2 linked regions of the Canis lupus familiaris genome follow. The protein of the gene in region 1 binds, or shares a complex with, the protein of each later gene. Links are inferred from orthologs where the notes say so. Each region holds a gene or a part of one and is shown in the gene's direction. Other genes may lie near its edges.

Region 1 (7,477 bases):
AACACCCCAGCAGGCAGGCGGGGGGTGGGTTGGTCTCCCCAGCACAGAAAAGGCAGAGCATGGACCTGGCAGTGGGGTGGGGCCTTCTGTCCTGTTCCTCTGCTGTTTGGGAGAAGTCCTGGGTCTCCTCTGAACCTCAGCTTCCTCCTCTGTTGAATGGATAGGGCGTTACCACCTTTCCTCTCTGGTTTCTGTGGTGGTTAAATGAGAAAGCAGTGATAGAAGTAACTCCCTTACGTCTTAGGCACCGATGATGAGCCAAGTGCTAGACGTTCCGTAGCTTGTGGAATCTCTGTGCAGCGTCCCTGGCTGTGGATGAGGACAGTGTGGCCCAGAGACGGGAAGCTATCACCCAGGGTGACATGGCACCTCGTGGGGTAGTTGTCTGAAGCCAGGCCTCTAGGGCTCTCCGAAGCCCCTGGCTGTCCTGCATCTTGGGGTGGGACGGCCCTTGGGGTGGCTTCATCTGTCCCTCTTCATGAGAGACTTGCGAGGGCAAGGATGGGATCTTAGTCATGTTCTCTGAGCACCTGCTCTGTGCTGGGGCCTCTGCTCTGTGACCAAGACCATGTTGGACTCTGCTCTCCTGGGGCTCAGAGCCCACTGGGGAGACAGACCTGTCCCCAGATTAGGACGACCTCGAGTGGTACGGCGGGGATGGGGGACCCCCCAGGAGGTGCCTGATCCAGCCAGGATGTGGGCACAGAGAAGATGGACTTGAAGCAGTGATGTCCGGAGTCTGGTTCTAAAACTCTGACCGTCTGCCTGGCTCTGAAACCAGGCGCTCCTGTTCTAGGACCTGCCCTCCTTGAAGGGTGACAGCCTCAAGCCTGACTGTCGGTGTTTGTGACTGGGTGACCTTGTGTGTGTGTGTCCATGAAGGGTGTGTGGGATTGTACCCTGTGAATGTGTGGTTCTCTGAATGTATGTGTCACCAGGGTGGCCGAGTGTGACTGATGCAGTGGGAGGGGTCCTGGGTGTGAGTGTATGTGTGGCCATGCAGGTTCGGGTTGTGACTGGGATTCTGGGTGTAGCTCTGGGTCTCCTCTTTGAACCAAGAGCCTGCGTGAGATTGTGTGACCACATGGGACATGTTTCCATGTGACTCGATGTATGGTCACTGCTCTGTATACACCATCATCTGGCCGTGGCTCTGTAGGACATGCAGCTGTACGGTGAGGAGACACTGGTGACTGAAACGGCTCCAGTCTCTCCTCATGGAGCACCCAGTCACCTGGGGAGGCGTGTGTGGCCGCGCGCTGACAGTGGGTAGAGAGGGACTGACCTGACCCCACATGGCTTCCGCCCCAGATTCTGTGCCGAACGCCTCCGCTCCCTCTTGCACACCCTGGAGATTGCCGATCTTGCGGACTTCTCTCCCCTCACCCTCCTCGCTAACTTCGCCACCCTCGTCAGCACCTATGCCAAGGGTAAGCTCATCTCCTGCCTCTGCCAGGCCCCCTGGCAGCTGGAATCAGGATCCCAGCAGAGTCCAGGGGGTTGGGACTGGGACCTTCAGGACCTTGTAGGGCTGGGCTCAGGAGTTTGGGTTTTGTTTCGAGTACAGTGAGGTTCCACAGATAGTCCTTGAGCTAGTGAAGCCTTGTGCTCAGATGTATATTTTCAGAGGCTCCCTCTGGCTGCAGAATGGAGTAGGATGGGGGACGAGGCCAGAGAAGCTCTGTGGGGTCACTTACACTGTAGGGTATGGTGGTAAGGAGTTGGCCCTTCTACTTCTGGGAAGTGGGAAGCCATGGAAGATTCCAAGCAAGGGAAGAGCAGAGGCAGGGACCTGAGGCAGGATGGGAGGATGAGAGGGGCTGGAGAGAGATGTGGGACCTGGTACCTAGGATTGGGGGGGCAGGAAGGCATGGCAGGGAGGGGACAAGGAGCTGAGTATAGCACTCAGGTGCCAGGGAGAGGGGACCAGAGACTTTACTGGTCAGCACTACCTCCCCTTCCTTAGCATTAAACTGGCTGAGGGCTCAGTCTGATCCCTGGGGATTACTACTCTATCCTGGAAACCAGGTCAGGCTTCCTGATACCCTGTACCCAGCCTAGAGGATAGAGAGGCTGTCCCCCAAATCAGCATCCATCAGCAGCAAGTCCCACTAGAAGCTTCCTTCCGTGTCCATCCCCCTGTCCTTCCCCTTCTTCCTTCTGGGGCTGGCTTTCTCCTCTTCTGCCCACTTCCCTGTCCACCAACACCTCACATTCTTCTGCCTGGAATGTCTATCCCGATATTCCTTAGCCCCCAACTACCTCCTACTCATCCTTCAGTTCTTGGCTTGTTAAAAATGTTCCCTTCTCCAGGAGGTCCTCCCTGACCCCCCAGGGTGTGTCTCTTCCTCTTGGCTCTCCTGTTCCAGCTCTGTCTACTCTGAGTGGTCACTCTCTGGGGACAGGACTATGAGCCCTGAGAGGGCAGGGCCAGAGATGTCATGGTTCCCACTGTGTCCCCAGTACAGGGCCAGGCACAGAGGATTTTTTTTTTTAAGATTTTATTTATTTATTCATGAGAGACAGAGAGAGGCAGAGACACAGGCAGAGGGAGAAGCAGGCTCCCTGTGAGGAGCCCGATGTGGGACTCGATCCCGGAACTCCAGGATCACACCCTGAGCCAAGGGCCGACGCTCAGTCACTGAGCCACTCAAGCATCCCAACTTTTTTTTTTTTTTTAATTAAGTAAAATTGAATATGTGAATTCATTCATTTGCCTATTTTTTTTTTAAATTTTTATTTATTCATGATAGGCACACAGTGAGAGAGAGAGAGGCAGAGACACAGGCAGAGGGAGAAGCAGGCTCCATGCACCGGGAGCCTGACGTGGGATTCGATCCCGGGTCTCCAGGATCGCGCCCTGGGCCAAAGGCAGGCGCCAAACCGCTGCGCCACCCAGGGATCCCTCATTTGCCTATTTTTAAGAAAAATTTTATTTGTATTTATTCATGAGAGAGAGCGGCAGGGAGAGAAGCAGGCTCCCTGTAAGGAGCCCAGTGTGGGACTGGATCCTGAGACCCCAGGATCAAGACCTGAGCCGAAGGCAGATGCTCAACCGCTGAGCCACCCAGGCATCCCCACCTGTGTTTTTGGTTTTTTTTTTTTTCAACAAATGGGTCCTGCCCAGCACTGAGGAAGTGGCAGAAACCAAGAGGGACCCCATTCCTGATCTCCTGGCAGTTACACTGTAGAGGAGAAGACAAGTAACAAAGACTCAAATAAAAAAGATAATTCCAGAAAGGGATACTTTTTCACAAGAAAAATGTTGCCATGTTGGAGCATGCCTGCAGTGGCCAGGATGGCCAGGGAAGCCCTGAGGTGCTGACATTTGAGCTGAGTTCCAAATGACCAAATGGAACCAGCTGCCTTGGGAAGCTTTTCAGGCTGTGAGGCCAGCAAGTACAAAGGCCCTGGGGTGGAGTGAGCCTGGTGGTTTTTGAAACTTAGGAGGCCTGTGAGCTAGGAGAAAATGGGTCAGCGTGGCGGGTTCTCGCAGATAATTTTGGACTCCGGAAGGAGTATGGGGAGCTGTGCAGGGCTTCTGAGCAGGGCAGGGATGTGACCTGAATCAGAATTTTACAGGGTCCCTCTGCTTCTGGGAGGGGAGCAGGGGCAGCAAGAGCTGGATGCCCAGTGAGGTGACTGCAATGGTCCAGGCTAGAGGTGATAGTGGGGGAGGGAGTGGGGGCAGTGGTCAGATTGCAGATAGGCTTTGGAGGCAGAGCTTGACCCATGGCTTAGATACCATGATCATGGAAGGCTCCAGGCTTTGGCTTGAGTGGTGGTGTGGGTTCTTAGAGCCTTGAGAGTGTCTGAGGAGTAAACCTTTAGTGCTCTCTGCTCATGATGCTCCCTGAGTGGATGTCAGCCCTGGGAGAAGCGGGCAGGTTGGGGTGTACTTTGGACTCCCAAAGACTGGGTTTTAAGCTTGAGCAACTGGTGGTTGGCCCCAATCACTAATGGGGGGAGGAGGTAATAGACAAGTGGGCTTGGCTATGACCGGTGACCTGGAATCTCACCCGGTTGTAGGTTTCACCATCATCATCGAGCCCTTTGATGACAGGACCCCCACCATTGCCAACCCCATCCTGCACTTCAGGTGAGACCCAACCGCAGTGTGAGGCTGTCAACAGACCACGGGGGCCCAAGCATGGTCCTCACCACCCTCCTCTGCTTCCTATAGCTGCATGGATGCTTCACTGGCCATCAAACCCGTGTTTGAGCGTTTCCAGTCTGTCATCATCACATCTGGGGTGAGGACCCTTATCTGCCCTAAACTCCCAGTCCTCTACTATGGGGATCCTGGTTTCTGCCCGGTCCTGCTAAGATCCCTCCTGCTGTCCCTGCTATAGACGCTGTCCCCACTGGACATCTACCCCAAGATTCTGGACTTCCACCCCGTCACCATGGCAACCTTCACCATGACGCTGGCCCGGGTCTGCCTCTGCCCTATGGTGCGTGGGAGAGGGTGGATGCTGGGCCAGGGGAGATGTGTCAGCTCTCGTCCTCCTGTTCCCTCTCAGGCTGCTCAGGCAGGAGAGTATTAGCCTGAGGGCATAGGCTTTGATTCAGATAGATCTGGGCTTGATGCTACTGCTTCCTGTGGGTCTGACTCCCCAAGCCTCAGTTTCTAACCTGTAACATGGGGATGCATCCTCCCTGACCTCCCAGGGCGGTTGAGGTGATAGTGAGATAGTGGATACAAGATGCTTATGTGGCCCAGAGCCTGGCACCAGTCGGCCCTCAGTCAGCATCTTGGTTAATGTGGGCTTTGCCTGGTTCATCATCTGGTCATGACCTTGATGATGACCCTTCTCTGCCTCAGCCTCCTTTGTAAAACAGGCATCGTAACATGAGCCCTTAATTCCTTATCTGAATCCCTTGGGCCAGATGTATTTTAGAATTGAGAATTTTCCAGATTTTAAAGACAAACCACATGCTGTACAGTATGTGACATCCCCAGTGGGGTCTGGGCAGCTCCCTCCAGTGAAAGTTTTATTTCAGCAGGAACATGTTTTGAAACGTCAAACTAAGGGAGGTAAGTCAGGACTCTGAATAGACTCAGGTCAGGGCAGATTTTGCCACTATAGGAGTTTGCACCAAACTTAAATATCTGGAGTTCCTTGGGTCTTGGAATTGCCCTTCAGGGGTTGTGGACTGGTGACGGCCACATTCTGCATCATGGTTTTGTGGAGTTGCTGGGGGGGGGGAGGGGGGGAAGGGGAGGTGCACCTGTGGCTGGCGGTTGGTGAGGTTGTGGTGGAACCCTTTCTTCTGGAACTGTGTGGCTGGGAGGCTGAGGCCAGTAACACATATTTGCTGGTTAGCAACACAGACAGACTTGGGTTCAGTGTCGGCTCTGCCCTTGATTTGCCACGTGACCTTGGGCAGGCAGGCAGCTCACATCTGGGCCTGAGGTCATCCATCCGTGCAGTGCAGATAACAGGGGAGCTGAGGGTTCACTCAATGACATTGTGTCTATAAAAAGCTCAGCCTGGCACCGGCAGGCAGCTAACGCATCAGAATGGTGCTGTTTGCTTATCGTTTGCTTATTGTGACGTCTGTTGCTCTCTGCAGATCATTGGTCGTGGCAATGACCAGGTGGCCATTAGCTCTAAATTTGAGACCCGGGAAGATATTGGTATGCTGCTCATGGTGGTTTGTGTGGCTCCTGAGAGGGGAGGTGTATCAGTGGGCTAAGTCATGCTGCAGTAACAAACATCCCCAAATTACAGTGGCTTGACACAGAGGTTACTTTTTGCTCACAGTATGTGACACTGTGGACTGGTGGGGGCCTGCCCCGTGGTTTCTCACTCCAGGAACCCTTACCACGTCCCCTAAATTGTGACGGCAAGGATCCTGGTAATGGTGCTGGGCCTCACGAGGGTTTACCTGGAAGTGACACATAGCCACTTCATGCATTTCATTGGCTAGGTCGAGTCACATGGCCACGCCTAACTTCAGGGGCGGGGGGTGGGGTGGGGTGGTGCAGTTCTCTCAGGCCAGAAAGAGAAGTGGAAAGTATGTGAACAGCCCTACTGGTGGCCTCTGGGATTTCTAGGAACTCCAAGTTCAAGACAGGGCATTAGTTAGGAAAGCTCTGACGAGGGAGTAGGGAGCAGGACCCAGGCACACTCTGACCCCTACCTCCCCACCCCTAGCGGTGATCCGGAACTATGGGAACCTCCTGCTGGAGATGTCTGCTGTTGTCCCTGATGGCATCGTGGCCTTCTTCACCAGCTACCAGTACATGGAGAGCACCGTGGCTTCCTGGTATGAGCAGGTAAGCCCAGCCACCTGCTCTCCAGGAAGGCCCCACTCTCCTCTGTTCTTGGCTCTGTTCCTCTGTGTGTTGGCTTTGTCTGTCTTGTGTTTTAAGTGGTAACATGGATCTAAAACATCTGAACAGTTCAAAGAATAAACAGCATCATACCCTGGTCCCCCCCTTCCTCCCACATCCCGGTTAAAAACTTAAGAGCCCCTGTGGGACAGTGCAGGGGTGAGGTCATAGAGCGTTCTGGAAATGGGGCTCACCACAGCCAGGCCCTGGGTGGCTGCAAGGATGGGAGTGTGGGAGGGGCCTGCCGTGACATGTCTGCTTCTAGGGCACCACGGCCCAGCTCTTGGGTGGGTGAAAGCAGGTGCTTGTTAAGGGTGAGAGGAGAGAACTTGGCTAATCACTAGAAAGCACTTGCCCCCCTGAATGGTACAGGTGACCCATCGCTGTGGGGGTGTGTTTCTGTACCTTCTGTCCCAGCGTCTGTCCTTGATCAATGTCGCATGGCTAGTGTGGGGTCACTGAAATCTCTGGGCAGCCGTGGCCTGGCCTCCATCAGCCCCTCCACTAACCACCAGCTGGAGGGGCGGAGTGTCCCAGTTGGCCATCTTGAGCGCTCTGCCTGCCCCACTTATCTGAAAGATGGGGGGCAGGGGTGGGTTCTTGCCTGGATTGCAGAGCTTCCCGCAAGGAGTGAGGCCAGCCTCAGCCTATACCACCTCCCCGCTCCCTCCCCGAGTTTCTACTGGCCTGCCAAGGCCTGGGAAGACAAGTGGTCTATAGCATGGGAATCGGGGCAGAGTTGACTTTAGCCAGGATGCCTGTACCAACCCCCAGCCTGACCTGCCTGCTGTCTGTCCTTCCCTAGGGCATTCTTGAAAACATCCAGAGGAATAAGCTGCTCTTCATTGAGACCCAAGATGGGGCTGAGACCAGCGTTGCCCTGGAGAAGTACCAGGAGGTGGGTGGGGGTGTGGGAGGGTGCCCTAGGAGACTGTGTGCAGAGGGCCCGAAGGAGGCAGTTCTGAGCATGTGTCTCCTGTCTTGGCCTCCCCTCCCCAGGCCTGTGAGAATGGCCGTGGAGCCATCCTGCTGTCAGTGGCCCGAGGCAAAGTGTCCGAGGGAATTGACTTTGGTGAGTGGACAGGCTCTCCCCTTCCAGGTGCCTGCCTGGAGCTCTAGCTGTTTGTTCACACGGGA
Region 2 (7,132 bases), on another chromosome or scaffold:
CCCCAAAATGTGGAAGTCCCATGGCCAACACCAAGTGGAGGCTGGATGAGACCACTGCGCAGTGGCGCTCCAGCCCTCACCCCCCTGCTCCCCCCTCCCCCCGAGGCAGCCCCTGGATCCTCCATGAATGACCTCTGGCCCTTCTGACCTCCATAGCCCTCCTCCAAGAGTGCAGAGCCCCTACTCCCATCTAGGGCAGCCCAGACATGGCTGTGCAGCTGGGCCAGGCTGCAGGGGCCAGATGGGACACCAGCTGGCTCCATGGTTCACCCAGGCCCAGCCTCCTCCTCCAGGAAGCCTCCTTCCCCATCCTCTGCGTGCAGGGTCTGATGTGCCGCATCCCAGGGAATGGAACCTGTGGTAGGCAGCAGGGACAACCCGAGGAAGAGCCCCAAGACCAACACACCGGCAGTCCTGGGCTGGGCCTGCTCGACTCTCCAGGGCTCTGGGATGGGCAGTGGTTGGAGGACCCCAGAACAGCATAAGCCATGAGAAGGCCGTGGGCACCTACCTGGCCGGATCCAGGTCCCACTCAAAGAGGAACTACCCCAAAAGCGGACACAAAGGTGGGAGGATGCCAGGGGCTGGGAGGCAGCAGGGGCCTGGCCTGGGGGCACACACCCCAGCAGGGACAGATCCTGGGCAGAGCAGAGCCAGCCGCCTCCCCGGGGCCCCCAGGCCCAGCAGGCTCTGAGGCGGCTTTGAGGAGGCAGGGAGGCCCCGCCAACACAAACAGTCCTGTGGTGTCGGCCTTCCGGCTGCTGATCCAGCCCCTGCAGGCCCCAGGCCCCACAGTCCCCAGGCCCACCCGGCCCGCCCTGGGGGAGGGGTACCCCCTACACACACAGAGCCTGGGCAAGGCCAACCCCCATCTCAGGGTCCTCCCCTACATCCCTGCTCCTCCTGCAGCCCCCCCACCCCCCAGGGGGGCATTTCTGTCCTGGAGGTGGTGGTTGAGAGAAACCATCAGGACCCTGTCTCAGGTACCCAGTGTGTGCCCACCCACCTCCAGGCCAGTGTGGTTCCCCCAGAGCCCTACCACATGGGGCCCAGACCACAGGGCTGCCTGGCAGTGTTGTTCCCAAATGCCCTGAGCCCGGGCTCGTCCAAGGGGTCACTAGGTCAGGGCCACCACAGCCTCAAGCACGCTTGCAGACATCGTCACTCAAGACTCCTCAATCCCCAGGGCCCAGGGCTAGTGCAGGCTCAGCAGGCAAGGGACCCTGAGTGACCCAGAGGAGGCATACGAGCATGGCCGCATGGCCGTGCAGGGACCCTCCACCCTGTAGAGCGCTCCCCCCCCCTCCCCGTGAGTGCACATCTGCATCTGCCCAGAGCAAGAGGAGCAGGGGCCAGGCCTGCATTACCAGGACTGGGTCCCTCCAGCTGGGCAGCTATAGGTTCTACCCACACTCTACAGACGGAGAAATGATGCCAGGACTGGTGGGCAGGGTCGGCTGATTCCCTGTACACTGGGCCGGGCTCTTGGCTGGAGCGTCTCAGCAGCAGAAGCTTCCACTGCTGTCCTCCGCCCCTGCCTGCCCTGCAGTGACCCTTTTCTGGCAGGAAGCGTGGCTCACGGGTTCCCAACCACATGTGGCACAGCCCTCCCTCCCTCCCTATGCCCCCCCCACAAGATACCCTATGCTCCAAACGCTGGCAGTCTCCCTCCCCAGAGGCCTGGGCCACATCTGTGCTGACACTGCACCAGAGAGGAGAAGTGAGGGCCCCCCTTCCCCTGCAGGCCCCCGAGGCTCCCCTCCCCACCCCTCCTCCCCACCAGTGCCTGGGGCCCTAAGGGCTCCCTCCCGCCCAACCCAACTCCCCCCACAACACACACACAGAGGCCACCCAGGGCCGAGGCAGCTGGCAGGGCTGACCTCTGAGGCTCCCCAGTGTCCTGCAGGGTTGAGGAAGGCAGGATAGAGACAGAGAAGAGGACCCAAGGCCCCACAGGGTGTCCCGGCACACCTGTGCTGAGGGTGCAGCCGGGATGCTCCCCACCGTCTGTCCTTGGAAATCAGGGAGCTGGAGGGAGGAGCCCAGGAAGAGGCCACCACCACCCCCAAATCTACACACAGCTCACAGAATTCCAGGAATGTCAACTTGGCTCAGGCCTGGATCAAGGCGGGAGGCTCATTCCCCTCACTCTTTCAGAGTAAACAACTACTCCCAGCAGGAGCATGGGTGGGGCAGGCCCTGGGCCCCTCCTCCAGGAAGCCTTCCACCCCAGCGGCTCCCCAAGTTCCACCCAGCTGACAGCCTGGGTCCCCTCCGCTGTGTCCCTCACCTGCACAGTTGCCAATAGTCTCTGCAGGGGAGCCTGGGTCTGACCCCAGGCCACCGTGACTCCAGGCCCCCTCTCCTGTCCCTCTTGTCCAGGCACAGGATGTGCGTCCAGTGGGTGGGGTGGGGGGGCAGCTGGGAAGGGAAGTGGCCTCTCTCGTGGCTCTGCACGTGGCAGCGTGGAGGATGACAAATGCACTGGGCAGGCTGTCCAGGGCCCAGGCAGAGGTGGCCAGCGCCTCCCAGGCCCCAGGGGACCCTCAGGCTCCCTCCCTGAAGCTGAGGCCAGAATCCACCACCCACCGTGGGAGGGTGGGGAGTACAGGCCCCACTCATGCCCAGCCCACCTGACTAGCTGACACCCGCCCCCCCCCCCCCCCCCGCAGGCGCTGCTCTGGAACACATCCATCCCCACAGCCCCAAAGTCTGCCTCCTCCAGGGAGCCCTCCCTGCCTCCCCCCACACAGATCTGCACACACCCCCCCCCCGTGGCCCCCGGATCGAGGAGCTCACCTCACCCCGCCCCCAGGGACACAGCCTCATCGTCCCTTCCACCCTCTGTGGCTGCTGCCCCACCATCTCTGACTCCACCACCTACTCCAGCCCTGGCACGAACCCGCGGCCTAGAGCTGCCCGCAGGTATGGCCTCCAGGGCCCTATCCAAGGGGTCCCCCGGCCAGGATCAATGCGCTCCCCGACACACGCGGGCTCTGCAGGGCGCCTCTTCCACGCCGCCCTCCAGGACCACCCGCTCCAGCCTCCGCCCTGCTCTGAGTCCTCAGAGCCCCGACCGCCCGCACCCCCAGGCCCTTCCCCCAGGGCCGCAGAGGGCAGGCTGGGGCGCTGGGGGGGCAGGAGCTGCGGCCGAGCCGGCCGTCGGGGCTACAGTGCGGCCGAGCGGGCCGGGCCGGGGCGGGGACAGCCTTCGCCGCGCCGGGCCGGGAGGGGCCGCGGGAAGGTCCCTCCGGGGCCCCCCTGCCCCCGCCCCCCGCCGCGGGTCCCCGCGCCCCCGGCCCCGGCCCGGCCCCGCCACTTGTTGCTGCGGCTCGGCTCGGGGCTCCAACTCTGCGCCCGCTCGGCTCGGCCCCGGCTCGGGTCCGGGTCCCGGTCGGGGGTTCCGAGGGGCGGGACCTCGGCCGCATCCCCGCGGACCGGCTCTGTACCTGCGCGCGGTCCGCCCGCCGCGCAGCTGTCAGTCATGCGGACACGAGGAAGGCGAAGCGCCGCCGTCGGGCCCTTTCGGTCCCGCTAGGCCGCCGTAGGCCGGGACGTACCAAGGCGAAGGGCCGGGGGGGGGGCGACGCTTGCTCCGGTAGCGGCCGCGTGGGCCCCGGAGCCCCCGGTCCGCGCGGAAGGAGCTCGGCCCGGCAGGGAACGGACGGCGGCGGCAGTGGGGCCGGGGGGCGGGCCGGGGGCGGCCGGGGGCGTGGCGGGACTGGGACTTCTCCCCCCCGCGCCATGGACGCGCCCTCGGCGGGGCCTGCTCCCGGGCGGAAGCGCCGCCCCGTCTGCCAGTCCCCGCGCCGCCGCCGCCGCCGCCGCCAGCGCCATGATCATCCCGGTCCGCTGCTTCACCTGCGGCAAGATCGTCGGCAACAAGTGGGAAGCCTACCTGGGGCTGCTGCAGGCCGAGTACACCGAGGGGTGAGGCTCCGGGCCGGGCGGCGTGCGGAGCCGGGGCCGCGGGGGGCGGGGGGGGCCCTGCTGGGCGCGGGGCCGGCGGGTCGGGCCGGGGCGCGGGGGGCGGGGCGCGGGGCGCGGGGGGCCCCGGAGGGACCAGGTGCCGGCCGCGAGCAAGGGGGCAGGCGGGCAGCGGGACTGCGGGACCGCGGGGACTTGCACACGGACCCCGGCAGGTCGTGGCTCCTGCCCGGAGCAGTTCGGGGCTCCCTGCCCTCCCGCCCTCGGAGGCCCCCGCGCCCGCGAGCCCGCGGCTCTGGGGTCGTGGGCCGGGCTTCCTGGCCACGGAGCCCTGCGGAGCGGGCCGTCCCGGGGCCGCTCTCCCGTCGCTGCCCGTCAGCGCGGGCGTCAGCACCGGCCTCGCGGGCGTCTGCACCTTTAACCCCGGCCTGCGGCGTTTGGGGTGAGCGGGGAGGCCAGGTTGCTGGGGAGTCTGTCGGAAAGACCGAGTGTGAGGGAACCGGCCGGAGGCCCTGGAAGCCCCGGGCAGGAACCGCCCAGCCCTGCGGCTTCCCAGCTCGGCGGCGCTGCACGTCGGAGCAGTGCTCTGGGGATTTTCTGGAAGCCCTTGGGGCAACAGGGGCTGGGCCCCAGGGACACTGACAACTCTAATCGGCTTGGGAAACGGCAGAGAGACGGCTCCCTCCGCGGGGGCGGGGAGGGGGGGCTTGCTCCAGCAGGGTTCGGGTCCTCCGTGTGCCCAGGACTGCCTGCCCCAACCGGGTGTGATCTGCCCCTCACCCACAGAGATGCCCTGGATGCGCTGGGCCTGAAGCGCTACTGCTGCCGCCGCATGCTGCTGGCACACGTGGACCTGATTGAGAAGCTGCTCAACTACGCGCCTCTGGAGAAGTGACAAGTGACCTGCTCACGCCCGTCACCCGGTCACCCGCTGTGCTCACCAGGGGCCGTCTGCGCCGTGCCCCCAGGCACTCCAGTGTGGTCGGGGTGGCATGGAGCATGCCTGTCCACCACCTGTGGATGTGTGTCCCTGCTCTGGAAAGAACTGTCCATTAAAGGTCTTTGCAGAACCATGAAGAGGTCCTAACAGTTGGCCTGGCTTTGTGGGACTCCCTGGTGTTTCTGTGTCCTGCCTCATGCTTGAAGCTGTTTGGGGATAGACGTGGCTCTCACCGTTCAGGGCCCAGAGGTGGCGGGGGTGGTGGAGGGCATCTCACAGCCCAGTGACAGTACACAGACAGCCAAGAGCACTCAGGTTGAGGGTCAGGAGACATTGGCCTGCCCACCACCAGGTTCTGGTTGACCTTTAGGACAAGCACGGAGATCCTCACATCCCTTCCCAGGATCTCAACAACCAGATATTTGAGCCCTGAGTGGAATAACTGCTGCAGTCTCGGCTGCCCATCCTGAGATCTTGCTGCCAGAAGCTTCTAGGCTCCAGCCAAGTTCCTGTGGAGGGGCAGGGATGGTGCCCAGCCTCCATAGCCAGCACTGAGACCCGCACAGTGGGTTGAGGGTGGCCCTGAGGAGGCTCTGCTGGGTGTCAGGGTTTGCCAAGCTCCCGGTGGCCTGGGTATTAGCACTTAATCCTACAGGCCTGCCCAAGAGCTATCTGTCCTATTCCAGGTCCACTGAGGCTTACAGCTGACAGCTGTCGCCCTGGACAGGAGTCTACCAGGCCCTAGTGCCCTTAAGCAGGCAGAAGGCAGGAGTGTGTGGTTAGAAGAGAGAAGGGGACTCTTGACACCGTCTTCAGGGCCAGCCCTGCTGCCCAGGTATCTGACATGCGGTCCTCTGAGGGCCAATGAGCAAACCTATCACGGCAGGGGGAGGAAGGGTCTGCCAGGGGTACATGCCCTGCAGAGCTCAGGCCTCTCCTGTCCTGTTCCAGAGGCCCTCTCCCCATCCCTAACGGCTACCCATGCCAGAAGGACGTTTGGAAACAAGCAGGTCTAGGCCATTTGAGGCCTCCATTGCCTCTGGCTCTCCCCACTGCCACCATTTTTCTGTCCCAGAACCGGCATGGTTCTGCTTCACAGCCTGTGCTCAGCGGTCCCTGCTACTGGCTGCCTCTCGCTGGAGTCCCATCAGTCTCCAGAATGTACCCCCCGGGCCCCAGCCCCTGTCCTGGCACTGGGTGGGTGGTTCTGTCCACCCTGGTGGGGGGAAGGCCCTGAGTACCAGGACCCTGACAGTCACTAACACAATAAGCTCAATCCATTCCACAAACGTTTATTGAGCGCCTATTGTGTGGCACGAGCAGTTCTAGGCATTTGTGATAACAGCAGTGAATAAAACCCACAAACCCCCCTGCTTCTGGGAAGGAGAGAGGACTGTGGACAAGTAAATGTGTGGCCTTTGGGGAGAGAGGTGGGGAAGTCCAAGCAGAGGCTCGGGCAGCAGAGACTTCAGGACAAGAGGCCCAGGACCCCCAGGGCAGGACCGGGCTTACTTGGCTTTCCCAGGGATCTGCGGACACCTGGGACTCCTCACATGCAGGTGTCCTGTACTCCCTTCACCTACCCCACCCAGCCAAGTCCTCCTTAGACTGCATGGGAACATCTGGGGGTCTAGGAGCATCCTAGAGTGGGTCCGCCCCTCCAGCTGAGCGCAGGCATCAGGAACCCCAAGGTCCTGTGACCCCACTCACAGGCAGAGGTACTGCTCCTTCCCCACCCTGGGGGGGCAAGCTTCAGGCCTTTGGTCTGCAGAGAAAGGCACTTGTAGCTCCCTCTGAGGGTGGGGATCCCCAGAGGTTATGGTGATGGTTTGGGGATGTGCACATGGGCTTAAGAACGCACCCTCCCTGGCAGAGTGGGGAGGGGGGAAGGAGCAGCATCCTGGAAGCCCAGCTCCTGGCCCTCAGTAGTGTCAGCTCAGTAGTCAGGTGGCGAGGCTGCGGCATACACAGTGGTACACCCATGCTCAGTAGTGTTCCAGCTTCAGGCTCTTGTACAGGCAGCATGTGAAGATCATGCCAAAGACCTGTGGCACAGGGCCAGCATGAGTGTGGCACAGTGCCAGCCACATAGTGTGCCCCAGCACCCACCAGGGCCTGTCCCACCCCACCCCCGAACCTGCACACAGGCGATGCCAATGCCCACAGCGCCGATGACCCTCAGGTGTTCCTGGATGAAGGTCTCCAGCTTGGTGATGCAGCCACCCTGGCAGAGTAGGGGTCAGGGCACTGAAGGGAGGCGATTCT

Evidence for each region.
Region 2: ERCC2 (region 1) and POLR2L share a complex: the UniProt entries of both Homo sapiens proteins name them as parts of the TBP-based Pol II pre-initiation complex. The link is inferred for Canis lupus familiaris from reciprocal best matches to the Homo sapiens genes ERCC2 and POLR2L.

The regions. Positions count from the first base shown.
Region 1 is NC_049222.1:110,893,618-110,901,094, forward strand, and holds part of ERCC2 (general transcription and DNA repair factor IIH helicase subunit XPD), read left to right. Parts: intron 1-1,311; coding exon 1,312-1,430; intron 1,431-4,029; coding exon 4,030-4,099; intron 4,100-4,183; coding exon 4,184-4,253; intron 4,254-4,352; coding exon 4,353-4,454; intron 4,455-5,577; coding exon 5,578-5,641; intron 5,642-6,161; coding exon 6,162-6,283; intron 6,284-7,145; coding exon 7,146-7,238; intron 7,239-7,339; coding exon 7,340-7,412; intron 7,413-7,477. UniProt on the Homo sapiens protein: ATP-dependent 5'-3' DNA helicase. Component of the general transcription and DNA repair factor IIH (TFIIH) core complex, not absolutely essential for minimal transcription in vitro.
Region 2 is NC_049239.1:45,631,695-45,638,826, reverse strand, and holds POLR2L (DNA-directed RNA polymerases I, II, and III subunit RPABC5), read left to right. Parts: upstream 1-3,765; 5' UTR 3,766-3,835; coding exon 3,836-3,930; intron 3,931-4,713; coding exon 4,714-4,822; 3' UTR 4,823-5,014; downstream 5,015-7,132. Other genes in the region: CD151 antigen, read right to left, coding at 6,853-6,912, 7,005-7,091. UniProt on the Homo sapiens protein: DNA-dependent RNA polymerase catalyzes the transcription of DNA into RNA using the four ribonucleoside triphosphates as substrates.